Linked DNA regions of Struthio camelus. The protein of the gene in region 1 interacts with the protein of each later gene in a biochemical or structural test. Links are inferred from orthologs where the notes say so. Each region holds a gene or a part of one and is shown in the gene's direction. Other genes may lie near its edges.

Evidence for each region.
Region 2: the proteins of FZD7 (region 1) and DVL1 form a complex in vitro, tested with the Homo sapiens proteins (2 studies listed by BioGRID and IntAct, with this or other methods). The link is inferred for Struthio camelus from reciprocal best matches to the Homo sapiens genes FZD7 and DVL1.

The regions. Positions count from the first base shown.
Region 1 is NC_090947.1:10,064,397-10,079,240, reverse strand, and holds FZD7 (frizzled-7), read left to right. Parts: upstream 1-8,808; coding exon 8,809-10,527; 3' UTR 10,528-11,592; downstream 11,593-14,844. UniProt on the Homo sapiens protein: Receptor for Wnt proteins.
Region 2 is NC_090962.1:3,697,435-3,712,756, forward strand, and holds the start of DVL1 (segment polarity protein dishevelled homolog DVL-1), read left to right. Parts: upstream 1-7,553; 5' UTR 7,554-7,780; coding exon 7,781-7,950; intron 7,951-15,322. UniProt on the Homo sapiens protein: Participates in Wnt signaling by binding to the cytoplasmic C-terminus of frizzled family members and transducing the Wnt signal to down-stream effectors. Plays a role both in canonical and non-canonical Wnt signaling.

The DNA.
Region 1 (14,844 bases):
TCGAGACAGCAGCCAGGCTGCCCCTGCTCAACTTGCAGAGCGCCTCCGCACGCGGCAGAAACAGCGCGGCGCGGCCAGGCACGTGCCGCAGCCTCACCGAGCACAGCGCACGCCTGGCGCTTCCCGTCAGGAAGAAAATATTAACCTGCCAATGCTCATGATTCCCTCAGAATCTGATTTCCAGGAGTTGTAACTTCTGCTCCAGGCAAAACGTCCCTATCTGATTTTAGACAATTTCGAGCAGCACAAGTCTGAACATTTCACAGTACTAAATTATTGATGTTTTCAGATATATTTTGCGTCCCTATAATTTAAAGACATCATTGCTTTTCATAACATCTATTTGAAACTTTTCATATTGTACTGTGGATCTCTGCCTTTTGAAAAAAAAAACACTGTTCAAAGGAGTGACTTCATCGTTAAACCTGTGGCTTTACTGTACGTACGTAGCGGCTGACCAAAACGTGGCTTTAGGACTAGCTATAAGGTGAATAAACTATAATCATCGAAAGAAGATCATCTCACCCCCATACTAGGGTTTGAATGGAAGTCCCATAGCAAAGTGAGACCGACCGTACTTGTGTGAGGAAAGCAAATAAGAAATACAGAGTGAATATTTGAGCTCGGGTGCTGTACGTCTCCCTTTGAGGTGCTGAGAGTTTTCAGCTTCCTCCAAACTCAGAGGGATGATCTGTGGGAGCAACGAGAGCAGGACCTGCTATTTTTAGAAGTCAGGAGTGAAACCATCTACCACATCAAGCACATAAGAATTTGGCAGCAAATTAGGATTTGAGAGCTCTGAGTACCTCCCCAGACTGAGCCTGTGGATTACAAAAGATCATAACCATGTCTTAAGTCATGAGCATGTCCTCAGTGTTTTAAATCTCTGTTTTTAAAAATGCGACGAAAAGGAGGAAGATTATTAAATACAAATAGACACACGTTCACAAAATGAAGCTGAATCTCTGTTGCTCTGAAGTCTAGCCAAAGAATGAATTGTAACCAAGGCCCAAGACAACGCAGGGGCTGCAAATGCCATGCTGATATTAGAATGAATCCAGAACAGAATTTCAGACGGTACTTTGAATTTCCCAGCTTTGGTAGGTGCAAACCAGACATATGATATTATTTCTTTTTAGCCCGTATGAGAAAATGTTACACGAAGCTGAAATCTATTTCAGACAGCAGTGTTTCTTTAGCAGAATGCGATTTCTCTGATGCATTGCTTTGCTCCATATGCTTCTAATTATTGCTCAATTCAAACAGCTCTTTCTGCATTGCGTTGCAGGAATCTCAGAAGGCACCTTCTACGTAGGCAAGAAGCATAGCACATAAATAATTTCAAAAAGTATTAAAGAGGGGAAGCTTCATAGCTTTTCATTCCAATCTGACTATGTGGTATTTAAATAAACCTCTGTGGCTTTCCAGTAACATAGTAGGAACTCCCAGGTGGCAGGGCTGGGGGAAGAGAGGGAGGAGAGCACTAAACATACTAATGAACATGTAATTAAGAAAATGGGCCCTCGTTCCCTTCAGAGACTCTGTGAGGAGGGAGATTATTTAAAGTGCTGCTTTCTGGTTCCCCTTCCTCCATGGAAGGAAATCAGCTTAATATCTCCAGTGCCACCCCACACCATTGTTCCCCGCTCCAAACAGGTTCAGTCAATGAAGGCTGACACCGAGGTTGAAATTATAGTTTCAAAATGACTGGTTAAAGGAAAGGTAAAAGAGGAGTGTGATGCTGGTGCACAAACCTAGGGGCCCCAGTTTCTCAGCAGAGCTGTCTGTAGTCCCTGGCATTGGCTTTTCCTCAGCAGTGTTGCACCACTGGAACGAGCTGCTGCTCACCGTCACCCGGGGTGCTCCCAAAAAGGGTAATCCTCAGCCTGGGGCAGCACCCTGGCCCAGGCTGCTCTCTGGGGCTGGGGTACAGGGAGCCAGAAGGAGCCCCATGCAGCAAACCTCTGTGTGGCCTTACACCCGCAAACCACCATGGCAAGTGGGTCTGCAGGGCATGACTGGGACCAAGGGAAGAAAGAAACAATTCTGTTTAAGAGTTTAATTGTAATTGCAAAGCCAAAGGGTTAATTTGTGTAAGCCCATCAGGAAGAGGGAAAATAAAAGTAATTAAAATGTTTGTTTCTCTTTCCAATCCAATTTTGGAAGTGGAGTCAGTTAAGGAAATTTCACCCTAAACAGAGGATGGGAGCAGTGATTGGTAATTTAAGCATTCATGGGAGGAGGAGGGAGGATTTTGTAAACAAAGGCTTAGGAATTCCTCAGCCTCTTTAGACATCTGGCAAATTCTGTATTGAATAACAGCTCTACTTCCCTTGTTTTCTGAGCTTTGGAAACAACATATTTCTGGAGGCTGCACTCATCTTTAGTGAGTCTTAATCAAGCAAAGATAAACCATTTGTTTGAACATCAGGCAGTGGCTTCCTGCCAAAATGATTGTCAGATGGCAGAACCACGTCCCAAGAGAAATGGCAATAGTCTCATTATTCAAGGCATTTAAAATCAGACTAATCAAACCACTAGAATGCATAATAGCAGGGACTAAGTGATCCAATGGGTCTTCCCCATCTCTTATTCTGGGCTAAATCCAGTTCCTCTTATTACACGAACAGACTTGGAGGCTTTGGTGAGTATCTTGCCCCGTTTTCATTGAACCAAATGAAAACTCACCCATTAACTCAAGTAGGACAAGTGCAAGTCTTCAGGCTGTGCATTAGAAGGTTTTAAAATATAACCTCAAATAAATGACACTACAAAAAGATAAAATTAAAACAAGGTGGGGGATAAATGACAAAAGACATAGCACAATGCATTTGACTATTGCATGTTAAGGGCACGTTTAGAGGGCATCAGTTGGTAACCAGTCACTAAGTCCTCACCGACCTTGGAGCTGTGGGAAACAAAACGTAGTTCAGTGTTCATAAGTAGTATGGCACCATCCGCAATGAGTTGGGAAGTTTAAGTACAAACTTGGGAAACTTGGATGTTTTTTATTGTTCTATGTTGCATACCTCAGCCAGCTTTATGTTGTCAGAGCTATGTGCAAAAAAGCCCCTGGATAAGAGATTTAAGTCACCTTACTGGCAACTATGCAAATGGGAGCAGCTATACAGAATTGGCTGGCCAGAACTAGTTTTCTCTAGCTTTTCTGCAGGAAGCCAGACTTTGGAACAGTGCTGCCGTTCCTTCAAGAAGGACGTAGAAATCACATGTTAGCACTTGTCTTTGGCCGTAGAGCCTCAAAAGCTGAAAGGGAATTTACAAAAGGGGGAATCACAGAAGGAATAATACCACTGGGTTTTGGAGGAAAAGGGATATCTGTGACAGAGAGCCCAGAAAACGGTCAAGGAATTTGGCTTTCAGAGAAAAAAAGCTGATCTACAATGTGGAAGAGTACTCTAGAGGAATATAGTCCTGGGAAGGGGAGCTTGAACCACAAGAAGACACTGGCTGAATTCCTGAAAAACATTCCACGGTGGTGAGAGCAAGCAGGGGAGGGTATATATATGTTTTGTTTGGATCTGTGATAGTTTTGGGGTTATAAAGTAAAGAATAACTCTGCGAGAGACCTTTGCCGACCTGTGAGTCATTTATCACAAGAGCTGGGAGAAGCTCATGATAAGCTAGAGCACCCAGAGGCTGGGCCTTCAGCAGTGTCAGCGTAAAGGCAGCTGGCCCAGAAGCCTCGGGCAGCCAGACCCCAAGACGCTCAGCCAGAGGCGCTGCCTAGGACCCTACGTTACACATCTCAGGGCATCAGCCAAAACCTGCCACGGCAGTCTGGGAAGGGTCCGAGCACTTCGCTGTGACAGATCACCTTTCATGACTTAAAGAATCAGAAAGTAAGTTTGCATGTGACTATGCAACATCCAGATCCTCAGAGCACAGATGGAAAGGGAACAGCAGACATGAATGTCACTTTTTCCCACTGTCTCTGGAGGCTTCCCTTCTTCATGCTATGATACCAGTGCACCCAGACAGAATGATGACAGGGCCTGGCAGACAATACTGCTGCTAGCAGAGAATTTGTCTTGTTAAAAAAGTACCTAGATACAAAATAGAAAATAAAATAGAGAGGAATGGCCTGCATCTAATACCAAAGGGCCTCTGCAACCCAGAAAATTGTAAGAAAGCAGATAAAAATCACTTTAAAGAACAGGGGAATCCAAAGTGTCATGCAAGGGTTAAAATGTAACTAATGCCCTCACTGAACTGCTGAGTGGGGATGAGTAGATAACTTCAGGTTTTGTTTTCTTATTCATGGATCACAGAGATGAAAGCAATTATCAGCCTGATAGCCCATCTTGGTAAATGTTTCCTAATGTTTTGTCCAATTTCATGGTAAATGGGGAAGGCAGTGGAGCTTCCACTGCATCCTTTGGGATACTACTTCATAAGCTAATAATTATCTTACAAATCCATGATGCAACCAGCTCCTACCTCTCTCACTGTGGGAAGCCACATCCCCTCCAGCAGAATCCCCTTCCTTTTGTCACCTGTGCCCTCCCCATCTGCTCTCTTCAATCAGTTTCTTATGTCTTCAGTCTAATTTGAAATTAAGCCTCCATGGTGGGGCACAGGGACTTCCCTTCCCCACTCCTCCCTTGTGAAATACTAGACTTCTCTGGCAAACTTAAAAAATATGCAGTTCAGAGTAATCTATCATACTGACAGACATGCAAGCAGATATAATATCTGCGAACTTATTTTATTTTTAATTATGCAAATCTTTATGTAAAATAGGCAAACCCATCATATCCCCCCCTAAGGCTTCTGGCCTATCCCCACAAAGCTTGAGGTAGTGCAAATGTTGATGCTCTTTGCTCAATAGCCTGCCTGATCATGTAAGATTTTATGCAAATATGCTTCAAAATGTTAAGGTTGAAAGTGTCATAGAAGTTATTTACTAAATTTAAACGTTACAAGTCCTACAATTCAGCTGGTTGCATCTGGGGCTTTGGCAACTAAGTTAGCAATAAGGCCATTGAGGGCCCTCAGACAGCATGTTTCTGCAAATAATCTTAAAAAGTTCACCCTCAGGCATACAGAACAACTATTGACTGATGGGGTGGGGAGAGGGTGTTTTGTTTTGATTTCCTTTCCTGCCATGGGAAAAGTTTTGTATCAGATGGGATAAAAAACAAGGAAAGCGACACTAGCAATGCTTTAAAACAGGAGGAAAAGGCATCACATTGGGACACTCCTCTTCACTTAGACTTAGCTTGGAGGTAGAACTGGATTTATTTTTAAATGTGTAAAAAGACAGGTAACTGTTTGCTCCTAAGAACTCCTCCCTATGTACAGCACTTCCCAGACAGCTCCAGAGTTGGTACCAATATCTGAGGCGGTAGGTTCATTCTGATACCCTGGACTTATCAGTGTTTTGCTCTTGAAGGTTTATTGCTGGCAGACAAGAGGCAATGCAGGATATTCAGAACAGTAGCAGTTGGGAGATTTTCAGGGAAAGCATCTTGAACTCCTATGTGGTTGCAAAAGGCAATTTCTCAGAAGCTGCAAAATCCTGTGCAGCACATTTGTCCTATGGGGCCAATAACCTGGCGAATGCTAGCTGCTTACACTTACTTGCTGATGAGAATCCCTCCTGTTGTGAGGAAATTTAAGTAATTTTGCAGACTAAACATGTGAATTCAGATTGAGGTAAAAACAGGAGACAAGCACAAGTTTGCTCTCATTTGAAACATGGCTGATGCTAGTTATAGTTATGAATATTTTGGGGTAACCTGCAATGCAGAATCCTGGGGTTTGCTGTTGCTTTGCGGTGTGCCTCCCCCCCAAAAAAAACTGTCAATATGCCCTAGACTGACTTGGCAGCCTGAGCTTTTCTTAGGCCACAATCCACCATTCTGAGACTGCTGTCTACTCTCTCAGTGGTTGTTTCCCAGTGGGTCTATGTTTGCAGGAAAAAAAAAACTGGAATTGGGTAACAAGCCCAAGAGACTTTCTTCCTCCATCCTGTTGCTCATTCCTACCATCTGGAATGGCCTAGCAGTGTCATTACACATGATAAGCTTCTCTTCTTATCTCACCAAGAAATAATTTAAGATGCAGCTTTCCCTCCATCTTCCTTTCTGCTTACCCTTAAAGGTCATTTTTTCTTTTGCTGTACTCTGATTCCACATTATCAACATAAACGTAATGGAGTCATATAGCTTTTATAGCAGGTACCAGAACTCCCAGTTGTCTTTTCTTTCTTACCATGGTTTGGAGGAATGACTCTAATGAATGGGCCTGGTAGAAAACAAGGGGAATCACTGGTGCCATGTGCAACGTTACAGTCTTGCCACTTGATTTGACATTCCTTATTCTGAATAAGTTCTGCCACTGCCTCCATATTACTGAAACCTAATTTCCTGTAGGAAAAGATGCTCTCTTGCAATACTGTTCTACCAGCTGTGAATCTCTCTCCCATATACGGAAATCAGAAGGGGCAATGCATGGGGCAGAAAGTCTGCAGTTAGTTGCCTTTCTCTGCATTGTCATTGCATGCCAGTGAAACATTTCCTTTCAGCCAACGTTTTTCATAGTGAATATTACAAAATGCTTTGCAGATGAAGTCAGTCATATATGCCAAAGAGAATAATAAAGGCTTTAAGGTGATTATTAAAGATAGGTGACTCAGTGGCTCATGGGGTGTTACAGAAAGATGGGATAGGGAAAAAAAAATGAAAAGAATAATCTTTTAAAACGTTACTGACAACCAAAGAGCAAATAATACAGTAGACAAGTTCACGTAAGCTTCTACTAAGGGAGATCATTTAGGCGAAGCATATCAGAAAAACCTGCTTAGTCACTAGCTTTACAACAGTAAGTTATTCAGGAAATGAACCTTACCAAGCTGAAAAACTGAAATGTCTCTAAGGTGCCCTCAAACAACTATAACTGAGAATGAAGAAAGGATTTATTTGTACTCCAGAAACAGCTGTTACAACCTGGAATAGCTAATCCTGCCACATACGTATTTTGGAGAGCAGAGTATTATTTTTAAAAACATGTCCACTTTTAGAGGAGCACATTTATTCTAGTAAGCCCATTTATAACTGTCAACTTCTCTTGACAAACACAACAAAAGCTAAAGCTCCATGGTCTTACTGGTATGAGGACCTGCTGTTCAGGAGCAGGAGAGGATACGGGAAACATTTGTGCAACAATTGCTGTTTGAGCTCCCTGAGCCAAACTCTGCTCTCTTGAACTGCTCTATGGGGTGATATAGAGTGGTGCATTTGCTTAGTCACTCCAATGAGCACAATCCAGAGTAAAAGAGATTTGGATAGTATGGAGTTTGGATATAGCTCAGGAGACCTCCATCCTCAAAGGGAGGGATCGAGCGAGTGAATAAACCTTGGCTCCAGAGTCTCTGTCCAGAGGTCCTCAAAGGTCAGGGCTAAGGGAAAAGCAGTCGCCCTTGCAGGACTCCTCTTGAGAACATAATCCTTTTTTGTGCTGCTGAAGATCCTCTCTTTACCTGTACGACCCTGCAGCAGCAGGACGGCTCCAGCAGCCCATGTTTCGGCGGTGCACCTCAAAATACAACTATGCTGCAAAAACCACACTTCTGGCCTTAGCACAGGCACGCTGGCCTAGCTCTAGATCTGCTCAGCATCGCTCGGCACGCCGATGCCACCCCTCTCCTGTCCTACGGCACGCTCTCTCTCCGAGCCAGCCTGGCTCCACACGGGAACTGCTGCTTTTCAATGACCTTTTGGAGTCTCTTAATGGGGTTGCACCAGCACACATGTGGATCTAAAATTTCTCCTTGCTTAGGTAACACTGGACTTTTTCAGAAAAAGCTGCCTTCCTCTAGCTAAAGCTTAGATCCGCATGAACAAAGCGTGTATTCTGCCACTAAAAAACCAACGGCCAGGCCGTGATAACAACTCAAACCGCGCAGGCGGGGAGGCGAGGGCGCCCAGGCGCTGACATCCCGACAACGCTCCCGCCCGCCCCCCCGGCGGCCGGACTCGGGCACGACTCTCTGCTGTCGCTAATAACTCTGGGCACAGGCAGCTGTTTGCATTTGCCGAGCCTGCTCGGCAATCGGCGCAGTAATTTTAGCTCGCTCGCTCGCTCGCTCGGCCCCCCCGAGCGCGCTCCCGGCCCCGCCGCCCCCGCTCGGCCGCGCACAACTTTTTCTCAACTTTTTTCCCCCAGCCCCCGCCCCGCCCCGCCCCTCCGCGCTGGCGGCGGGCGGGCGCGGGGATTGGCGGGCGGGCCGCCCCCGGCCCCGCCCCCGGCGCGGTTTGTGAATGGGCCCGGCGGGGGCGGGGCCCGCACGTATATGTGCTGCTGTGGGCGCCGCGCGGGCGGGACGGCGGCGCGGGCGGGCGGTGTCGGTGCGTCGCAGCCGCGGGCGCGGAGCGGCGGCGGCCCCGGACGCGCAGCCCGGAGCGGAGCCCGTCGGGAGCGGAGCTGCGGGGCGGATCGCGCAGCGGATCGCGCAGTAATTGGATTTTAAAAGTTCTTTAAGCCCCCGAGTAAAATACACGGATCAGCCGGGCGAAGTCCTAATCCGTTTAACTGTAACGCAAATCCCGGGCTCCCGGGGCCGAGCAGCCAGGCGGGCAGCGGAGCCAGCGCGTCGCCGCCGCCGGACCCTGCGCGGGGCTGGCGAGAGACTCCGCCAGGTTGGTGCATCTCGCGTTTCGCCTCCGGAAACTTTCCGCGGGGGCCGCCGGGCAGCGCCCCGAGCGGCGGAGCGCCCCGGCCGGCGCGGCGGAAGGGGCCCGGCGCCGCCCATGCCCCTGGGCCTTTGAGCCCCCCGGCGCCGCGGCGATGCGCGGCGGAGGCGCCGCGGCGGGCGGCGGCGGCGGCTGCCGCTGGCTGCGCCTGGCCGCGCTGCTGGGCGCCCTGCTGGGGCCCCTCGCGGGCGCGGCGGCGCAGCAGTACCACGGCGAGAAGGGCATCTCGGTGCCGGACCACGGCTTCTGCCAGCCCATCTCCATCCCGCTGTGCACGGATATCGCCTACAACCAGACCATCCTGCCCAACCTGCTGGGCCACACGAACCAGGAGGACGCGGGGCTGGAGGTGCACCAGTTCTACCCGCTGGTCAAGGTGCAGTGCTCGGCCGAGCTCAAGTTCTTCCTGTGCTCCATGTACGCGCCGGTGTGCACGGTGCTGGAGCAGGCCATCCCGCCGTGCCGCTCCCTGTGCGAGCGGGCCCGCCAGGGCTGCGAGGCCCTCATGAACAAGTTCGGCTTCCAGTGGCCCGAGCGGCTCCGCTGCGAGAACTTCCCCGTCCACGGCGCCGGCGAGATCTGCGTGGGGCAGAACACGTCGGACGCGCCGGCCGGCCCCGGCGGCGGGGCGGGCAGGGGTGCCACGGCCCACCCCACAGCGGGCTACCTCCCGGACTTCCTCACCCCGCCGCAGTCCCCCGCTGGCTTCTCCTTCTCCTGCCCCCGGCAGCTCAAGGTGCCCCCCTACTTGGGCTACCGCTTCCTGGGGGAAAGGGACTGCGGGGCCCCCTGTGAGCCAGCCCGGCCCAACGGGCTGATGTACTTCAAGGAGGCGGAGGTGCGGTTTGCCCGGCTGTGGGTGGGCGTATGGTCTGTGCTCTGCTGCGCCTCTACCCTCTTCACCGTGCTCACCTACTTGGTGGACATGCGTCGTTTCAGCTACCCAGAGCGGCCCATCATCTTCCTCTCAGGCTGCTACTTCATGGTGGCAGTGGCCTATGCGGCAGGCTTCTTGCTGGAGGAGCGTGTGGTATGCCTGGAGCGCTTCTCTGAGGATGGCTACCGCACTGTGGCCCAGGGCACAAAGAAAGAAGGTTGCACCATCCTCTTCATGATCCTCTACTTCTTTGGTATGGCCAGCTCCATCTGGTGGGTCATCCTGTCCCTCACTTGGTTCTTGGCTGCTGGCATGAAGTGGGGCCATGAAGCCATTGAGGCCAACTCCCAGTACTTCCACCTTGCTGCTTGGGCTGTGCCTGCTGTCAAAACAATCACTATCTTGGCCATGGGGCAGGTGGATGGGGACGTGCTCAGTGGGGTGTGTTACGTAGGTATCTACAGCGTGGACTCCCTGCGAGGCTTTGTCCTGGCACCTTTGTTTGTGTACCTGTTCATCGGCACTTCCTTCTTGCTTGCTGGCTTTGTGTCCCTGTTCCGCATCCGAACCATCATGAAGCATGACGGCACCAAGACAGAGAAACTGGAGAAGCTGATGGTGCGCATTGGTGTCTTCAGTGTCCTGTACACAGTGCCTGCCACCATTGTCCTGGCGTGCTATTTCTATGAGCAGGCTTTCCGTGGCACCTGGGAGAAGACGTGGCTCCTCCAGACCTGCAAATCCTATGCTGTGCCCTGTCCCAGCCACTTTGCCCCTATGAGCCCTGACTTCACTGTCTTCATGATCAAGTACCTCATGACCATGATTGTTGGTATCACAACTGGCTTCTGGATCTGGTCTGGCAAAACCCTTCAGTCCTGGCGACGCTTCTACCACAGACTCAGCACTGGCAGCAAGGGAGAGACAGCAGTATGAGACCCTCCTGCCCCCTCTGCATGCACACACACATACACACACACACACACACACACAGAAGAGGGATACTCAGCAGAAGGGAGGTGATGGCTCCCCAAAGGAGGAGGAAAGGGAGGCTTTCTAAAACTTTTGCTTCCTCCCAGGGGGAAAAAGAATCTTTGCATAAAGGACCAGATGCCCTGTGTCCAAGGGTGCTTATGCCCAGCTAATTGGAAGAGCACAGAAAAGGGTTCTCAGGCCACTGGTGGGGTGGGAGAGTCCTTTACCTGCAAGAAGTTCCCATTACCTCTTCCCTATGCGGGGGGTGGGGGGGGCCTCAAAACGTCCTGCCTTGCTTTGGATGAGACAGGAGAGAGGGAAAGCCACATCCATTGAGCAGCCCCTGCCAAGAAGTAGCCAAACTATCTCTGAATTCCTGAGGTCAAATTGCAGCTCTCGCAGGGTAACTTCAGAGCCCTAGGTTACTGTCTGCTCATTGAACCACAGTGGAGCAATCACGTGAGTACTGTACAACAAGCTGCCAGTCCAGATCGTGTGCTGTTGAGATGCCTCTACTCTGTCAGCTTAGGAGTTTTTTTTTTCCCCTCAGTGATACCTGTTTTCATTATTTTAAAGTGAAAAGTCTGCCTTGAGTGTGTTATTCTTGCTGCTGTGGAGGAAGGAGGGGGTTGCTATTCCACACCCTGAAAAGAAATGACTTGTTGCTTTTCAGCAGAAGGCTTTTCCCCCTTGCCTTTGTTATAGGAGACAAAGGGGGAAACAAAAGTGTTTTCTATGTAGAAAGGCATAAGCATGGGATCGCTTTTTATGGGCAAACTAACAAAAAGAAGTCGTTGAGGTTCACCCTTGGATGTGAGGAGCTCACAGAAATAAACATTCCTTTTATGAAAAAGGAGGAGGCAGGATGTTTTCGTACTGTTCGGTATGGGTTGCTTTTCTAAGCTGGAGGAAATGCAAAGCTTAAAAGAGAGGGAAAGAGCATAACTGAGAGCACCTGCCAAAACAAGACCTATTAAAATATGTAAGATAAAGATGTTTCTCTTCCCCCCCCCCCCACCTTCGTTCTAGTAAACCTGCTTTCTCTCCTGTTTTGCAGTGAGATTGCTGCAGGTAAAGTCGATAGGCAGCTGGGCGCTGGGGACAGGGAGAATACTTTTTGCTCATGATGGACAAATTTGCCAGCTCCTCCGATTCCCTGAACCACATAACGATGACTCGTGGAGCAGGAGAGGGCTGGGGGCAGCTGGGTTTTGGTTTTAAAAAGAAAGCAGTTACTATGAGCAACCTTTTCATTTTTATCTAAAAATACAGCAGTTTAAGCTTCCACTGATCACATCTTGGAAGGAAAGACATTCAAAAATTAATCATCAGATGCAGCATTTTTTTTGAAATGTGACAATTTTCTATTAAAATTTTATGTTGACTCTTTCATATTTTATTTTTAAATACTACTCTACCTTTATATTCACTGAAAGGTTTGTTTTTATAAATATATGTGTGTGTGTATATATTTTCTTGCCTATGGACAAAATAGGAAATTGTGGATTTTTAGCAAGTCTCCACCCTATAGCTGCTGTTCATTTTTTTTTTTTTGGGGGGGGGGAAGTGTCTGGAATTAAACTAAAAAGGAAAAAAATATTCCAGGTGAGGGGGCAGACTACTGCTGTCTGAAGGCAAACCAGTAGTCTGGGTATGAGGAACAGCCCAACAGCCAAATCCTTCAGTCTGTCTGTTCTCAGACTTGTAGGGCTTGGGTTTTTGTCTTTTATAATGTGCACGTGGAAAAAAAAAACTGTAAGACAAGTGCAGTATGTATATTTTGTAAATTTCATTTTTGTAAGAAAATATGTATTTATGTTTTTACTTGATTTTTTTGGAAGGTCTGTATGAGGCCCTGCTTCATCCCATGTACAGATCACTAAATAAATAATTTTTAATACAAGGGCTCCAATGCAGTTCTTTTAGTCTCTGAACACTTGGATGTTCCCCTTCTGTCACGTTCAGAGTCCCTCCCTCTTCTCCCCCCCCCACCAAAGGCTTTGCTGTGGGAGAAGGAGGAGACTTTGGGGTAAATACACAACTGAGGAGAAACTCTGTGTGACTTGAAACTAGCATTTCTGAAGTAATGGCCCCTAACCAAAGATCACATTTTGAGGCTGTTTTAAATGCATGTTTGCCCTCACTTGAGGTACCTGCATCCTAGCCAAGTTTTATTCCAGGCTCTGCCTCTTGCTGAGGGCAAGCTGATAAACCAGTTTCCTTATCTATAAAATAAGGATAATGCTCTTTTCCCATGCCAAAGGGGCGTTGAGATTGGGAACTGGAGGGTGCTGCAAGTGCTATAAATTAAATCACAGGTTTGCTGGTGGAGTGTTTTAGGGGAAAAACAAGGCCCTTTTCAATAGCTACCATGGGGCAGTGTTTTGAACTGGCTTTTTTTTTTTTCCTTAGCTCTTTCACTATCTCCAGTTTTGCTCAGGTGAATTTTACTTTAATCTTAATAGCTGCCTGAAGCCTATGTTCTTTCTTACCACAGTAATCTGAAAGCTGATAGCGTCAATTGAATGGTCCTATTTTATTTCATTTTTAACTGAAATGAATGTTTAGATTCCAAGATGTGTTGCTGCCATCAGGGACAGTGCCACAGCAGACAGAATTTTACACCTGTGAAATGTGGATCACTGCCAGCTTTCCTCTTGTAATTTCTGGCTATTTACTGGGTTTGTCACCCTCCCTTTGCTTTCAGACATAGCTATAGTGAAAAATCAGTTGCAAAGTAGAGAATGAGGATGCTGTAGCTGGATGCCATCATGGTAGCTTTGGTTGCATGACCCTGCAATGTTATTTTATTTACCTGAACACTGCAATAGCTGCACTTTCTTTTAGGACACTTATAACAACCATTTACATTTAAGGTGTGTGAAATACTGACTTAAAGTTACTTTCAGAGCTACCCCATTCAGTGCTGCCTCTCCATAAAAGCCACCTCTTCCCCTTTAAAACCTCTCTAGCTGCTCCCCAGAATCTTTCACTTGTCAAATTTCCTTTCTAAAAGGCCTTTGCTTTCCCGCAAGTCAGGCTGCTTCAAACTGCTCTGTGACATGAGCTCACCGATAATTGCTGAGGGTGGTTTCACTCCACTCGCTTAGGAAATCTAAACCTTTCTCTAAACATTTCCTCCCACTAATCCTCACTGGGGGCTGAAGCAGCTGCACCGGCCAGCGCGGAGAGCTGGGGAGCCCACAGGGAGCCCGCGGGAGCACGAGGGTGACTGATGCCCCTGTGCTGCTAGAGAGGCAATTATTCCTGAAGGCCTTGTGGACAGCTAAGCTTGCAATTCATGCAGGCTGCCTGTCTCCCTGCTCCTCAGTCCACTTGCATCTAGTCCACGTCTTCTCTACTTGGATGAGAAACTGCATTTAGGTGTGATAGCTATTTTTTGTCTGTACGTGGAAAAAACTTAAATAGACCTTTTTTGTGTGTGTAGTTCACATGAGACATTCCTATCTGAAAGGAAATGTCTCCATTTCAACCCGAAACCACTAAAGTTGAATGCTTTTATTTTAATATTTTATATTAAGGACTTCTGGATTTAAAGTCACTTATACAAAGCTATCCCAACCCTGAGATCGAACTTGTTTTTTTACATCTGAGCTTGTAGGTGACATTTGATGCTGACATAAAGTAAAAGCAATTGCTATTAACTTTTAAGCAAATGTGACTCGCATCAAGATTGAATTTGCTCGCAGTGGAAACAATCTGGAGAATTTCAAGTAGTGATAGTGCCTGGCCTTCTGGAATAAAAATCTCTATCACTATTCTGATAATGAAGTAGCACTAACTGTTATAATGGAGTACAATTTAAAAAACCCTTTGTGAAGCAATCTGGAAAACAGGAGGAAAAACAAACCTTTGCTAATCACTGTGAAACAATTTTTCTTCAATTAATCTTTAAGTTTACTTTCAGTTAGCATTTTTTTAAAGTTTAAGAAAAGTTTTGTACCCCCTACCTTCGGCCCTTTTGTATGCTGCATTTTTTGCAACACAGACGACCTTAGCAAGTAATGGTTATCATTGAAAAATATCCCTGTAATTGTAGGGGGTATACCATGTTTTCATGAAAAATATATAACATTTACTGTTTGGTTCTCAAGTTTCAGAGACATTGCTGTTTTACTTTGTATAAGAAAATAAGTTAAACAGAAGGCTTTAATAGGGCTGGGGTTCGGAACAGCAGCGGCAACTGCAAGTCTGTCTACACAGAAAAATGTGCTTTTATAATATGTCAGTGTTTGTTTGGGTTTATTTTTGGTGGAA
Region 2 (15,322 bases), on another chromosome or scaffold:
GACAAGAATTCTTGAACAGTTGGAGTCAGGGGCCATGTGCAATAAAGATCTTATCCAAACTATGGTAGTGCTGTGGGACTTTACCGGTCATCAGTCATGGTTATAACCTGTAAGTCAGATTCTTCACTGTGAGAGGAAGCCAAATGAGAGCTGCTGAAAAAGATACTTTGGGCAGGTGAGATCATCCTGGGACTGGTGCCAGCTCCATTGGGAACATGAAACTCAACAGCATTTTCCAAAGATTTAAATTTGCCTTTTTGTTTTTTTCTTAAAAGCCACAGGCAGAGTACAGCACCATGCCACAGAAAATTTCTTCAAATTATACTGTTGATGCTGGGAACCAGAGATGCCAGCGTTTTGCTGGACTCAGATGACACGTGTTGGATAGGATCTCTATATTTGTTCATTGTTGGGGAAATATGGAGCTCAAGGGTAGTTTTCTGTAAGCTAAAAAAAAATACAAATGCAGTGTTCGCAGGCCTGCATATTTCTACTCATCTGACATGATGCACATACAAACTGCCCAATTCCTCCTTAAATCCAGCATGGCGGTTTTTTTTTCCTTACACAGGTGAGGGAGCCTGCAGAAAGGGCATCTGCGATTACGCAGTTATCTTGAAGAGTGAGTTCTTACTGTGCAGCCTTAGCCAGTCCTGGGGCGGTCATTAATGCTTTAAGGACTATTCCTTTATGCTGGTACAGTGGGTCTCTCCTGGCAGTCTCCAGACCAGGCACTGTTGGTTATTTGATACTAGGACCTCTTGTTACTTCTCTCTGTTTCTGTAGGCAATGGGTCTGATGTTCAAGGAAAGCAGCTGGGAACAAGGAAAAGCTAATTTAGCAACCACAGATCCTGCTCCACAGCCCTCTGAAATTAAATATTTTCATTGCCTTCAACTTGTCTGAAATGAAGTCCAGATTGTTCCTGTTTTCTCTCTGCCTCCCAAACTGGGAAGAGAGTTTTGGCAGTGGAGGGAGAGTTGCTAGTCATTAACAGAAGAAACTTCTGAGGGGAAGAAGAAACAATGGGGTCCTGGCAGAAGTCAGATAAAGATCCGAATAGACATTCCTAAGCAAAAACCCACTGTTCCCTTGAGGTCAAGTTTCTAAATGCATACGTGGCCCCTGAAGTTTGCCGATCAGCTGCTTGGAAAACAATTGCCACGAGGAAGTTTTCCAAGCCTGGCTCTCTCCATTTAAGCAAGTGCTGCAGCTAGTAAGAAGAGGTAGGAGGATCAGAAAATGGCTGTGGAGAGAAAATAGATTGAGCCATGATGAGTAGGAGCTGGGATGGACCTACTGAACTCATTGGTGAGATGTGCATCTCACAAAAATATTTGAAAGTGCTTGGCTGTGCTGAAAGTGCATGTGTGCAATAGTGACTGATTTTCCATGCTTACTGCTAAGAGGACTTTAGAAAAAGTGTGGGAGCGTTGAGTTTTCAGAGGGGGTATACTGACGTTCTAACCCACAGCGTCTTGCTTACGTGCGTTAGCAACAAATGAGGTCTTAGCTAGAAGGTGTCACCTCTTCCTTCCACCAGAAGGAAACTGGTGAAGGAAACTTCCATGGAAACTTCCTTTTGAAGGAAACTGGTGAAGGAAACTTCCATGGAAACTTCCTTTTGAAGACTTAACCTACAGCAAACACATGATGGAGAAAAAGGTATTTCACCAAAACCAGCTTGATATCACTCATTGATTTGATGGGCTGCTTTGGAGCTGTGTTCAGGAGAGCCTTCTCAAGCAGAAATTACAGTAACTTCAAAAGGAGATTTTTTTTTTTTTTTTCTGCAGAACTGCCTCCCTGGCACATGAACAGTAAACTGATTGGGCTGGGTTTTCATTTTCTTGCTACTGTCATTGCTTCCAGTTCTTCTGGCTTCTAAAACCCAAAATGTACCTTTCCAAGTCAGACATCATGGTTCGGATGATGGCAATTTTGGACAGTGATGAATGTAGCAGAAACACTGCAAAGCTTTCAGAAACACAGCACAGGAATGGATTAGATGATTAACTGGTGCTTAAAGCACTTTCAGTGATTAGATCATTAAAGATCCTCTAACACCTACTGCAAGAGATGTATCTTTATAGTTAGAGCTCATATCTCGGATTCGCACCAACTTTCATCTGTTCTGACAGCTTGTGTTACCCTTTGCAACGTTTTACTTCTTTGCTGACTCTTCTCCACTGTTTTGATCGTTGCTTTAGACTATTAAAGTACAATTGTGTTCCAAACAGAAGAAGCAGCATTTCTGCATTTGTTAGATTGACGCCATTCTATGCCAGTACCTGATTTTCGCTTGAGGTTTGCTGTTGCTGAGAGACACTGAAAGGACAGGAACATAGTTCATTCAGAGTCTGCTAGTTCTTCCATCGTTATAACTCCCTGCAACAGGACTGAGATGCATCAAATTTTTGGAAGCAGTAACTGAACAGTCATCAATAGATCTGGGTTAGATGGAAAAGGAAGACTGAAATCAGAAGAGATGCTCTTCATTCCTCTGAATCCTTAGAGTTGTGTGCATCTGTTGACATTGTTGGTAAATGTTTTGCCTTACAAGCCTCTCGTTTCTTTTCAGCAGTCCCTGTGGAGCGACAACATGAATGTTGTCCTTTATTCTTCTCTCTTCCCCTCCCTTATGAAATACAACAGTGCCTCATTCCTACAGACCTGTAGAATAATATCCCTGTATAAAACACACATTGCTCAGAAATGCCGCTGAAAATACCCACTCTCATTTTCCCCCCGATTTATATTTGAATCCAGTGGCAATGAAAGCCCTGGGGAGCTTTGCCAAGAAGTCTGGAGAGCTGGCTTGCTGAACTGCAACGCTTTTGCTTCCCTCTAGCGGTTATGTCTTTATTTTCTTGTAAACTAGGCAAGACTGAGCTCTGCCATGACCTGACTGTGCCCAAGGTCTGTTGTGCAGAGAGGGAGTTTAAGAGGAAAAAAGCATGTAGGCCTGTTAGACCAGATCCATAAGCGGTGTAAACTGACTTGCATTGCATCCTGCTGATATATAACAGTTTAGGATCCAGCCTACAGCATCTTCATTTTAAGTAAATCAAAACTGTTTGCAGTTACGTCTTTCTACTTCTCTTTCTTGTTTAGGATCATTTCCATGTTTAATTCTCATTCTGCATTGGAGCTAATCTTGCCTATGTGAATGGGTGTGCCGAAAGTCTTCATGCAGGGCCCAGTGAAACTCGTGACCTCTAAAGAGAGGGAATAGGTTGGCTAACAATTCCTTTGTGGTTCATTCCGGTACCAACTTCTGATAAATCCCTTTAAAGATAAAAGTCTAGAATCCTTTTCCCCTGTTACTTCTGAGCAATGATAACTTTGGAGAAAAAAAACAGGGAATACAAAGATTAGACCTACTGATGGGACTCAATACTTTGGTAACCTGGAATTTGTGTCTGTACATCATTACTGTGATTCCAGTCTGGAAGGAATCTTCTCTGGCTAATTGGTGGCCTCAGTTTTGTTTCTAATGCTACTAGTCCATATTATGGCCTCCTTGTTTGTACCATCAGCCCTACAAGTGGCTACAAGTGGCAAGGATAGCTGGCAGTGGAATGATGAGAAGCTTGCATGGATGCTAGCCACAATGATCCTGCTGTGTTGCTGAAACAAATGAAAACCAAAGTCAATTTCCCAGGGTTGACCATCCAAATGAAAGTACTCCCAGTCAAACCTGATTTCATTGTTAGGAGTGGCAAAACTGCCAGTGACTGGCCCTTGAGAAGAAATGATCCTCCGTGTGAAAGATGATTTTGTTCTTTCACAAATACTTTCTTGTGGATGGTTAAAAAATACCCATGAAATCTCAGAGTGGGTCCAAGTTACAGCTTTGGTGAATGTCAGAGTGCTCAGAGCTTTGGTTTTCTTTTTGTCCCATCTCTGAAGCAAATGCTTATTTGTTAAGCACCCAGAATGCAATGAGCTTTTTGAATACACAGGCAACTCTCATCACTGTAATTCCAAGGTCAGGTTTTTAAAAAGGCTTGGTTATTCTCTGTCTGGTAATGAAGTGCAGTGCTATATAACCGAAGAAAGGGGCGAGCAGCTTTTATGCCTCAGGACATTTTCTACTCCCTGCAGGGGTCAGCAAGACTATTTTCTCTATCGTGGAGAGCACTGCACTAATAGCTAGAGATTTTATGCTTTATTTTGATTTTCCACTGAAGTGTTAAGCACTGAACTCTGCAAGAAGCAAGATATTAGCCCTGATGGACCAGTGGTTTGCTAAGGTGGCAAATTCTGCATTCCTATGTATGCTCTTTAATTGGATTAGCTTGTGGTTTGATTGTAACATGAAAGTGGGTTACCTCCTCACAAAAAGATTTCTGTATCCCCATAAAGAACTTAAGTGAGTCATAGATCCAGCCTCATCATGCCTGTTCTGAGGTAGTCATCTGACAATTCTACAACTCATTATATTTTCAGTTGTCAAAAGTGAAGGCAAAGCTAGTAGAGCAAGAACAGAGTTCTTTGCAGGTTTAGTCTTTGTGCAGATACCACCTGGGTCTCTGAGGAATTCAGGAGGTCATTAAGTGCCAACAGAAGACACTAAGGGATTGGATTTAATACTTTCCCTGGGTTTGTTATTGAAAAGTCTACAGAAAACTCAGTATCTCAGGGAAATACAGCTCGTACTAAAGTTATGTTATTGTCCTGCCAAATGAGGCCTTCCCCATCTTGCTCAGAGATTAATGTGTGTGGTAATATTGCTGGATTCACGGCATATTTTCTATATTAAGAGTATTCTCAAATGCTAGCAGAACCACAGCATGTGCCTGTGCACACATGCAGGACAGAAATTTGAATGCATAATATTACAGAAATCTTCAGTACTTGATGCCTCACTCTATCAAAATTCCAAAATGGAAGCAGTGAGAAATGACTAACCATCAATTGCTTAACCTTGGGATGCTGAAGTGGAATACTGTATCAGAAAGTGAACACTCAGCCACTCCTGGAAAATACTCTTTGAAGAGTATTGTGAAGAGTGTGTGTGGGAGAGAGAAAATACTCTTTGAAGAGTTGTGAATTGGTCATTCACAACTTAAGACAGTACCCTACCACTAGTTACATGATTAAGATTAATGCCATACCTTTACTTCGCTGTATATTGTATCTTGTTAAATGATTATACAAGCGTCCAGGTTCAGCAACAATGAGTGGTATGAATGTCAACAGATAGGCAGATCACTAGAGCTGGAGAACTGCAATGAATGTGATTTTTGTAATTGCTTCACTATACCAGAAATGACAGCAGGTAGCTGATGTTGTTATTTTGCTTTCTCAATATTGTCAAATCTTGTCACGTTGAGTGGTGGATTAACAATGCCATTGGTAGACCTGTACCGAGATCTGTCTCTGCATGGGATAATTTGGTTCTGGAAGTAGTAAAGCAGCATTCATGTGGCAGTGTGCAATATGGATGTGTTATTCCTGGTCAGTATCTGTGAAGTGATTTTTGTGTTGGCAGTCAACAGTGACATCAGCCTGTTTCTTTTTTTTTTTTTTCCCCCTCCTTTATATCCTTATAGTATGTTTGTATGGCTTCATTTACAAATGGTTTATATGAACTCATTTACAAATGGTTATATGAACTCTGGATTTGTTTTATCCGGATTATTTCAGTATCCCCCATTAGTCTGAGTAGTTAATAATTTGCTGATCTCCAAGTCTCTAAGAGCATCAATATCTTCTTGACAAGTATGCTGAGGAATAATTATAAGTCCAAAAAATAAGTAAATGTCTTTCATTCTTGATTACTCTTGTGCCCTCTACTGTTTGGTTCTCTGTCAGCCCAGTGGTAGCTGCATTTCAGTACCTACAATTGTGCAAATATGCCTGACCCATCTGCACTTGCTGCAGAGGGAGAAAAGAATGTTCAAATAGCAGTCTTTTTATTCTTGCACTTCCAGATTGGGCCCTTTCCTTTTAAAACACCGCAGAATGACTGGTGTAATGTGAGATACGGGGTAGCATTTGCAACAGCGATTAAGGCAACAGACTCATGATTCATGTTTAAAGTTGGAGCTGGGAACTGACAATGAATAAACTTTCAGAAACTTCAAAATAATAAATAATGATAATGTTAACAAACCTTTTGGCAGCAGCTAACACAATTGGCTCCTTTGTTTCATGCTGGTAGAAAAATCATTCCAGTGTCACAGGTAATTCAATCGCTGAGCTGTGATTTACTCTTTTAAAGAAAGCAGCTGTATATTCTGAGAAGTGAACATCCTCTTTATTTATTTCATTTTGGGGGGTTTCTAAAAAGATGGGTGGACTCTTCCCAAATATATCAATTGCAAAACATGGATCTTTTTTCTGGACTGGGTGCTCCAAAAGCACAGCCGTCTCACCTGAGCATGGAACAGTGATTCTTCTGCTGTTCTATGAAATTCAAGAGATGATAGGTCTAAAGTTGCTCCATGCCAAGCACCTCAATGGGGTCTGTGCCCAGCAGGCTTCTACTGAAGCAACTATTAAAGGCAATTATTTTTGAGCCACAAATATGTCACTGCTGTCTTATTAGCATCAACTGTCCTGTGACAAATTTCATGATCTGCAGAGAACCCATGAGTTCATTGCTTAAACAGACCCCATCTTAATTCTCTTGAAATACAAAGGGGCATTAGTGGCACCATAGGCCTGCTGGACGCAGGGAATCCACATTCTCAAGACACCTGAAATACAATAATCTGCCTATCATTATAGTTCAGAAGTAATGTTAGTCAGTTTTACGCCCCAACCACGTCTCATATAATACGTTGGAAAGAAGCCACCGAGTCTTGTTAAGGGCCACTGAGTTGGAATATAAAGCTTTACTGGATTGAATACATGTATTCAATGTACCTCATTTTTCCTGCTTTGTAATTGAATAATAATACTGACCAGATCTGTGCAGTGGCCTAGAGGTCTTTACCTGGAAAGTATTTACTAATTCCTAGAAACAAAAAATAATAAAGGAAAGAGCTGTAAGGACACTAATAATATTTGTATGACCCCTTGGGAACATTTGCTGGGGCACCAAGCATTTTTATTAGGCCAAAGCCTGCGGTGCTTGTAAAAACAGAGCCTCTCTTGCGCGTCGCACTCGGATGAAGCACTGCCAACATCAGAAGTCCCTGAAACAGTATCTATCTGTGCGTCTAAGCGGTTCGAATTTGAAAAATGACGTTTGCTTCAAGGAGCAAGGGCGCAGCACCCTTGCTCTTGTTAGCTGTTGCCTTGGACTAGACGGCGCGGTGCGATGCAGTTGCTAAAATCAGCCCTGTCTTCCCACGTCACGCGCTCTCCCTCCGACGGGCGGGCAGAAACGCCGTGACTGCTGCCTGTTAGCCGGCCGCGGCCCGGGCGGAGCGGGGGCAGCCGCGCGGCGAGCGTGCCCGGGGCACGCGGGGGCGGCGGCGCCTCGCGCTCGGCCGCGGCGCCCCCCCGCCGCCGCCCCCCCGCGGCGGCCGCCCCCCCGGCGATGGGGCGCCGCGGCGGGGCGCGTGGCCCGCGGCGGCCGCCGAGCGCGCCGGGGGGCGGCGGGCGGCGAGCTGCCGTTCCCGCGTCGGGCAGCTAGAGAGCAGTGCAGGGAGCGAAATCCCGGCCGTGGAGCCCCTGCGCGGCGGCGGCCGGGCGCTGGGAGCTCCCTTCCTGTCTGGGGCGGCTCTGGGCTGGAGGCTGCGACGGACCGAGAGGCGGCGGAGAGCCGGAGCCGTCTGCCCTCTGCTCTGCGCCGCGCCGCGCCTCTCCCCTCCTCCCCTCGCCCATGGCGGAGACTAAAATAATCTACCATATAGACGAAGAGGAAACCCCTTATCTGGTGAAACTGCCCGTCCCTCCGGAAAAAGTCACTTTGGCTGATTTTAAAAATGTCCTCAGCAACCGGCCTGTGCACAGCTACAAATTCTTCTTTAAATCCATGGACCAGGATTTCGGGTGAGTTGCCGCTCGCAAATGCCGTGCGGGAAGGGGATTCGCGTCCCTTTCTGCCTCTCCTGCCTTCGCCCTTTCCCGGTGACCACCGAGGGGAGGTGTTGGAGCCTCCCTCAGTCCCCAAACAGAAGAGCACCTGCTTTGATGGCCGCGGGCGGCTGCCGTGCGCCCTGGCTTTCAACTTGAATCCCCCGTGTGTGCGTGCACGCGTGGGGAGGTCGCGCGGGCCGGGCCGGGGCGCTCGGCGGGCTGGCGGCGGCGGCGGGGAGCCGGGGCGGCCCGGGGCCCGCGGGGAGGGCGCGGCCCAGCCGCCCTCGCGCCGCGCACTGCGGCGCCCGCTCCGCGCTAGGCCCCGGCCGCCGCCGCCGCCGCCGGGGGGAGCGGCGGGAGCCGCCGCTAAAATGGCGGCCCGGCCCAGAGAGCGGCGGGACCCGGGGGACGGCGCCGCCGCTGCCGCCGCGGGACGGGCGCTGGGCAGCGTCCTTGTCCGCGCCGGGCGGCCCCCCGCTGCGCCCGGTGCGCAGGCCGGCGCCTCTCCTTCCCCCGCAGCCGGCGCCGAGGGAGGCAGGAGCTCCGCGGCCCGCCGGGGCTGCGGCCGGGGGCCAACGGCAGCCCGGGAGGCCGGTCCCCGGCGGCGGGGAGCTGGGGGCAGGCCCAAAGCAGCAGCTCTGGGGCTGCGGAGTCCGGCGCACGCCGCCGGCGCCGACAGCTCTGCAGCTGGATCCCCCCTCGCCCCCGCCGTGGTAAGGCATCTCAACTTGTTTTTCCGTAACTCCTCAGATTTCGAGCCTGCCTGGCAAGATGGGTGATTAATGGAGAGGGCTGGGTTCCTCCAGCCGCTCCCTCCCCGCCCTGCCCTTCCCGGTTGGTGCCGTGCAGGAGCATAACATCTGGCACGGAGTTTTTGGCAGCCTCTAGTCGTAACTGTCACCGTGTTGGGGCAAGGCCTCGACCCTTCTCTAAGAAACGCTTCACTGGGGCAAGGATGTTCTGAAGAGCTGAGGAGAATCAGGCTGAGGGTGTATTGAAAGGTTAAGCCTTCTGCAAGTGCGGAAATGCCTGCCTGAAAATTTAGTTGCTTTTCTGGATCTGCATTCGCACACAGTTGATCATACTAGTAGTGTGAAACGAGCAATTATTGAAATGATAACTTCGTTGAAGGACCTGCTGATAACGTGTTCTGCTTTATTCACCACTGATAACATGTTCTGCTTATCAGCAAGGCAGAAGACAAGGGACCAGACTTTCAAATGCCCTTTGTGATCGTCTAGGCCCTGTTCCTGACTAGAGTTAGGAGATACTTGACATCATTCTAGTTTACACACAAAAATATGGGTTTCATGCCGCCAGTCTTATTTATGCTTGTAGTAAAACAAACCAATGAAAATACATTTGACAGTTTGCCAGAAAGTAATTTTCAAAACATATTTATCCCTTTGTAGTAAATCACTTCTCTTTGTACTCACATCTGTCACTGGCAAGACAATCTTTACATATTAAGTGCCTTGCCAGAAAAAAGAGAGCAGATTTGGGAAAAGTAATATGGACCTGATGATAAAATAACACTGTGATTAACGTATGAATGTAATGTTTGGTGAAATATGTTGTCCCGAGTGTCCTTTTACATGTTAGGTAGACTTTTTCTTTTCTCTTACTTCAGGCACGAGACCTGAAGCCTTTAACTGATCATTGTTTCTTTATCCATGATGGAATGTGGATATTGTTTTGTTGACACGTATTTCTTAAGTGTCGAGTTGTTAATATTGGCGTGTTATTGCATTGACTTGTTTTAGTGGGTTGTGGAAACATTCTGGGAGAAACAACTACAGGAACTGCTTGTTTTCAGAATAAAGCCTTTGGAACTGTCTAGTCATAATTTTTTTCTCCTGCACCCTCAAGTGACAGGGCACATGCCCTGCAGCAGTCTTAAAATTCCAGCTATGAGTTTTTATGGAGCTACCTCAATAAAGGATGTTGGATTTATTGAGACAGCATGGACATTCGCACCCACCACTACAAACAATTACTGCTGGAAAGGACATGAACTGTGCTAAGACATGTTGAAGTGTAACAGGGATATCTCCAACACGTTCTGGGCTCTTTTTGGTCTTTGACCAGGTAACAAGGTTAGTAACACAGATTCTGCAGTGGATTTTCTTGTTAGTCCCAAAACCAGGGTGAAAGCTATCTCTTCTTGCCTTATCATGGAAATGGAGATGTTGGAAGATGAAGAGTTGCAAATGGATGATTAGGCTTAGGGCCTGTAAATTCTATTTCCCTTATTTATACAGCGGTCTTAAATATGACTGTGCAGCACTCCTGGTGTTTAAAGCATTGTCTGTGAGGAGGGTGGCTGTGCTTAAGTTTGTGATGCATTCAAATAGTGTGGAATTGGATGTGAACTGGATCAGTAGCAAATAGAGATGTGTAATCATTTGCCTAAAAAAAGGACAAGCTCTGGGGAAAACTTCATAGAGTGTTGGCAGATGAACACGTAACTGTGGGGTATGTGAAAACGTGAATTTGCAGCTAGCTAGTTGCTTTGTGGTAATTGCTTGTGTTTATCCTTTATGCCACAATACAGCTCCAGCAAACATAAAGTAGTTATCCATTGTTGAAAAGGGGATGCTGCTTCATCTTCATGGGAGGGTGCATACCACTGAGCAGTTACCATAAATCTGTAGAAGATGATGAGCTGTACATTCATGCTGGGCTTACCTGGGCATACAGAGCTTACCTAGTTTTTAGGTCCATCCCCTGCACATAACAATTAATAAAATTTGGAAAAGGTTGCATGGGTTAGTAATACCACAGGACTGAAGAAACTGATAATCTGAACTAAAAATTTTATTTATTTATTTTTTACAGTAGCATTAGGGGCTGCTATGGGACGGCATGCTTTGATCAGAAGTTATTACTGGCCTTAAAAAAGGGATCACTGGAAGGTATTCAGTAGCCTATAATAGACAGGAGGTCCATGTTGTCATTAAAAGCTATGAAAAGATATGGCTGGTAAATTAAAAGCTAGAGAGAATTGTGATCCTGCTATATGTTTAATCCTATGTAACAGGAATTTAACCCCAATATTGCTTATGTACCCTCACCTGACATGCTGTTAAATGCCTATATGCAAACATATATAACTTCAATTTGCAAGATATATGCTGTATTTCAGGGCCCACCATAGGAGTACAAGTGTGAAAAGAAAATTAGCTTCAGTATTGGGCCCTGTATTACCTAAAGATTTTCCTCTAAACTATAAAAATAAACAAAGCCCTACTTTTTCTCCCTGAGCATTTATTCTGTCTCTCAAGTACAGACATTTGCTTGTTTGTTTTCTTTTCTGTTAATCATCTGATTGCAAGCTGAGGAGCCAGAGCACCTGCTGCTGACAATAGGGAATCCCTATCTGGTCTTTGTTCTCCTTTTTTTTTAAACGAAATTAGAGCTATATTGCACGAGTGTTTTGTTAAAAAGCTCTCTGCAATATTTTCAGGGGTGAAAATACTAAGTTTGTCTTTTAAACCCTTTACTAAAAGCCTCCAAAAGTCTAACAACACACAAACTGGTGATAGATGTGCTCATTCGTGCAGATTGGGTTTTAAGATTGGTGCCTATATGTAAACATAAATGACATTTCTACTCACTTTATTTTGCAACTGAGCTGTGAAACACCATAAAATTGCATTTGTAATTTAAAAAAAAAGCTGATGCACCATTAAACAGTGCTAACAATAACACAGTCACATCACAGTTCTTTTTCCTTCCATGACTGTTGGATGTAATCAGGGCTTGGGATGCCATAGACCCAGGAGTGCTGTGTCTTTCTCCCCTTTTGTTCTTTCTGGGCTCTTCTAGCTTTGTATTACACCACCTTCCTGTGATGGGCTCTTTTCTTCAATTCCTGTGAAAAACAGCTGTGTTCAAACTGAAGGTGTGCTTTATGACCAGGGCTATCCATGAGGGTATCTTTATGAGTTTTTTAATCAGCTATAATGTTATATCACTGTCCAAGTAAGAGTGGGTATGCCTGATTTTCAAAACGACCCATGTGGACATAACACAATCCTATCCTGCAGGCCTTTTTTCTGAACCCGAACTCAGAGGTCACTATAAATTTGGGCCCAATGTCTTCTGTGTAAATATGGTGTCTGCTGTATGCTGAAGGCCTTTTTGTGAAGCACATGTTTACTTAATGGCATGTCAGAATAATTCCACTACCCTGAACAGGTCATCTTATGTGTAGAATTTATGCTTTAATTAGTAATTCTGGAGATGATGCAGCTTGCCTCTTGAGGAAAAAAGATGAAGTGACAGATTAAAACAACCTCATTTCTGTTATTAATTTGTCTCTCTCCCCATTCTGTTAGTATTGACCATCTCTTTATTCTGGCCTCCTATTAACTTAGGCAGTGTTGCTATGAGGGCCTTCTCTATATCTTCTCTGATGTGTACAGCCTTTCTTGTTTCTTCCACTTTACGGGCTCATTTCCTTTGTATCAAATCTTGCCAACTTCAGTATTTCATCTTTTTTGTTTGTAGCTGTTCTCTCTCTCTCTCTCTCTCTCTCTTCTCTCTCTCTCTCTCTCTCTCTCTCTTTCTCTGCTCTGTAACTTAATTATGTAATTGTGATAGCTGACATAGTTACGCAGAGTATTTTGAAAGGTTGTACTACTGAGTCCATTGGGGTGGGAATTCGTTGTCTTGAGATAGCTAGAAAAAACTTTATAGCTAGTGATTCTTGTAAGCCAATAAGCCAACTGTGAGATTTGCCTAGCCGTTAAACCAGTTTTTTGTTCCTCTCTCCCTAATTTTCACAAGAAATTATGATTATCAATCAGAAGAAAACTAATGTGAATCGTGGCCATCTTAGTAAGTGTTATAGTAAATATAGGATGGTGTTGATAATCTTGTCTTCAAACTGACATGTTTTTGTTGTTGTTGCAAATAGGGAATTATAGCTGCAGTGGCCGCTAACCATAACAAAACTATGTATCTAATTTCTCCCTTATGTGCCTGAAAATGTCCCCCAAATAAGAATTTTTTTCTATCTTCTGTAAGTGGTACTTAGACCTAAATTACAGTAACGTTTTGGTTTTAAATGTAGCGTGCGTTCTGTAGTTCCAGTCTTCTGTTCCTCACATTGCTGCTCCGTGGCTGCGCAGAACTATAATTTGGCATGTTGACTGCCACTTGGCAGGGCGGTTTTTAAATCCCAATATGGAGTGAAAAGTAGTTCTTGTGTTAGGAAAGCAAATATTTTCCTGCAGAAGTGGAGCCTCCTTGAGAAGCCAGTGATGAGGAACTGACTTTGCAATACTGCACATATTTTTTTAATTAAGGCACAGCCTTTCCTGGATCCTGAAATAATGTAATAAATAATTGTGTTCAGAAACAGTGTATGCATTGAACTGTTTCCAACTGTGAAAGATCAGAGTTCCTTAGAATTGGAGCGGAGATGGATTTGGGGCACAGAGCCATACCAGGCTCTGCTATGAAAATGAAGCAGTTACGTATTTTGTATACTTGTGTTGACCAACCAGTCTGCATTCACCTTTGCTTCTTGGAAAGAGCAGGAGAAGAATGTTACAGGAATGGTGTATTTCTTTCTGAACTTCAGTTACATTGTAGTTTACCACTATGCCTTGCAGTGTTAATGTTGTACTGTCGGTAAAGCTGTAGAAAATAGATGTAATGTGGACCTCTGTCTTCATTTTCCTGACAGTGTTACTGTGATATAGAAATACTTTTTTCTGTGCCGTTTCCTTCTTGATGGTGACTTCTACACTAACTCTTGATAGTGTGGACCTGTCTGTCTTCTGAATGCACAGGCTTTCCTACTGAATTTATGTGGGTATGATGTGTTGTCTTTAATATGCAGGATGTTTAACTGTGTTCAAACTTAAAGGCTCAACCTTTGTCAGTGGTTTGTAGCTTCTATTTTTCTTCTAGTCAGTGGCAGATTAAGATGGGACATTACGAGATCACATTATAGAATGTGGTAGTATCCACCAAGAATAGATTTAGAGAAGGTGCTATTTGTGATATGTCTTGGAGAAAAGGGGGATTGTCATCAGCTGACATAGTTGCTTATAGCAATTGATTCTCTTCTCTCAGGGGAAGAGCTTAGAGATTACTTCCTATCACTGGAGTTGTTGATTCTGGGGTTACAGCCACGCATCCTTGTAATAATCCATGTAATGCAATTTTGTTGATTCTTTGATGATTGAAAAAATGACAAATAACGAGTGCAACTAAAATAAAGCTATAGTTTCTGATGCCTGTGTTCTCATCATCGAAACTCTGACAACTGCATAAGCAGTGTAGAATCTATGCACATTGAATCTGCGTGACTGATCCCGTATTAAGAATTCCTAAACATGCCTTAAATGTTAGGTGTTTCCAGAGCTTTTCTGTATTGTATTATAAAACACTATAAATGACTTCCAAAATGCAAAGCTATAAATGCGTATGCTCCAGGCATTCCCGTCAGTTTTAATTCTGCTATAAAATAGCCTATTTTGAGACTCCGTTCTACTATTTTATCTCTAGTTAGTATAGGATGCTATGCTGTGACATAATTATAATATGAGAGATTCAGAGTAAGAACTATCCCATCTCAAATACATTGCTTGGGCCAAGTTCTCTGTACAAAACCTCATTCTGATAAATATACTCCGTAGAGCATTGTTCTGGTTTCCATTGTGCTGTTTAATCAAGATGTGAGTAGAGCAGGAACTACTGATAATGTCTTTCAGTACTGCAGGATAAGAAGAATAAGCTTGTCTTGGGCTCTGTAATCTTCATCCATCAAATACCAGAGTATGTCTATTCTGCTGTCCTTCTGGGTGAGGTTCAAGTCCTCATTCTTTCCATTGTGTGAACCAATACTCTTTTGATTATACTTCTTTAGGGAGTATTTGAGGAGTGGCTTTTTAGGCATTCCTTTGGTATCAGTAACAGAACTTCCTATTAAACTATAGTTTTAGGAGCAGCTGTTTCTTGCACAGAAATTGCTTTTCTTGGTACCTGGTGTATTGAAAACTAGCAAGCAGTTGTGATTTAAAGCTTAGGATTGTGAGCTGAATGGGCAATTTTTTTTACAGAAGAACAATATGGAAGCACTATTTTGTGTTTTTTCTCATGGAGACAATGTACCACGCTCTGTTTTTACACTTGTCCTAAAATAAGTTCTAACTTAGAATAAGGTCTAACTAAAAATGTCTAGCTATGGAGATCTAGAACAACTTCACCACTGAGAAAGTTTTAGAGGAAAGAGATTTAAAACCAAATTATTTTGTGATTTTTTTTTTTTGGAGGTAGAAATAAAAATAGGAGTTAGGTCTATTTGTAAATGAGGCTTAAAAGACTGATG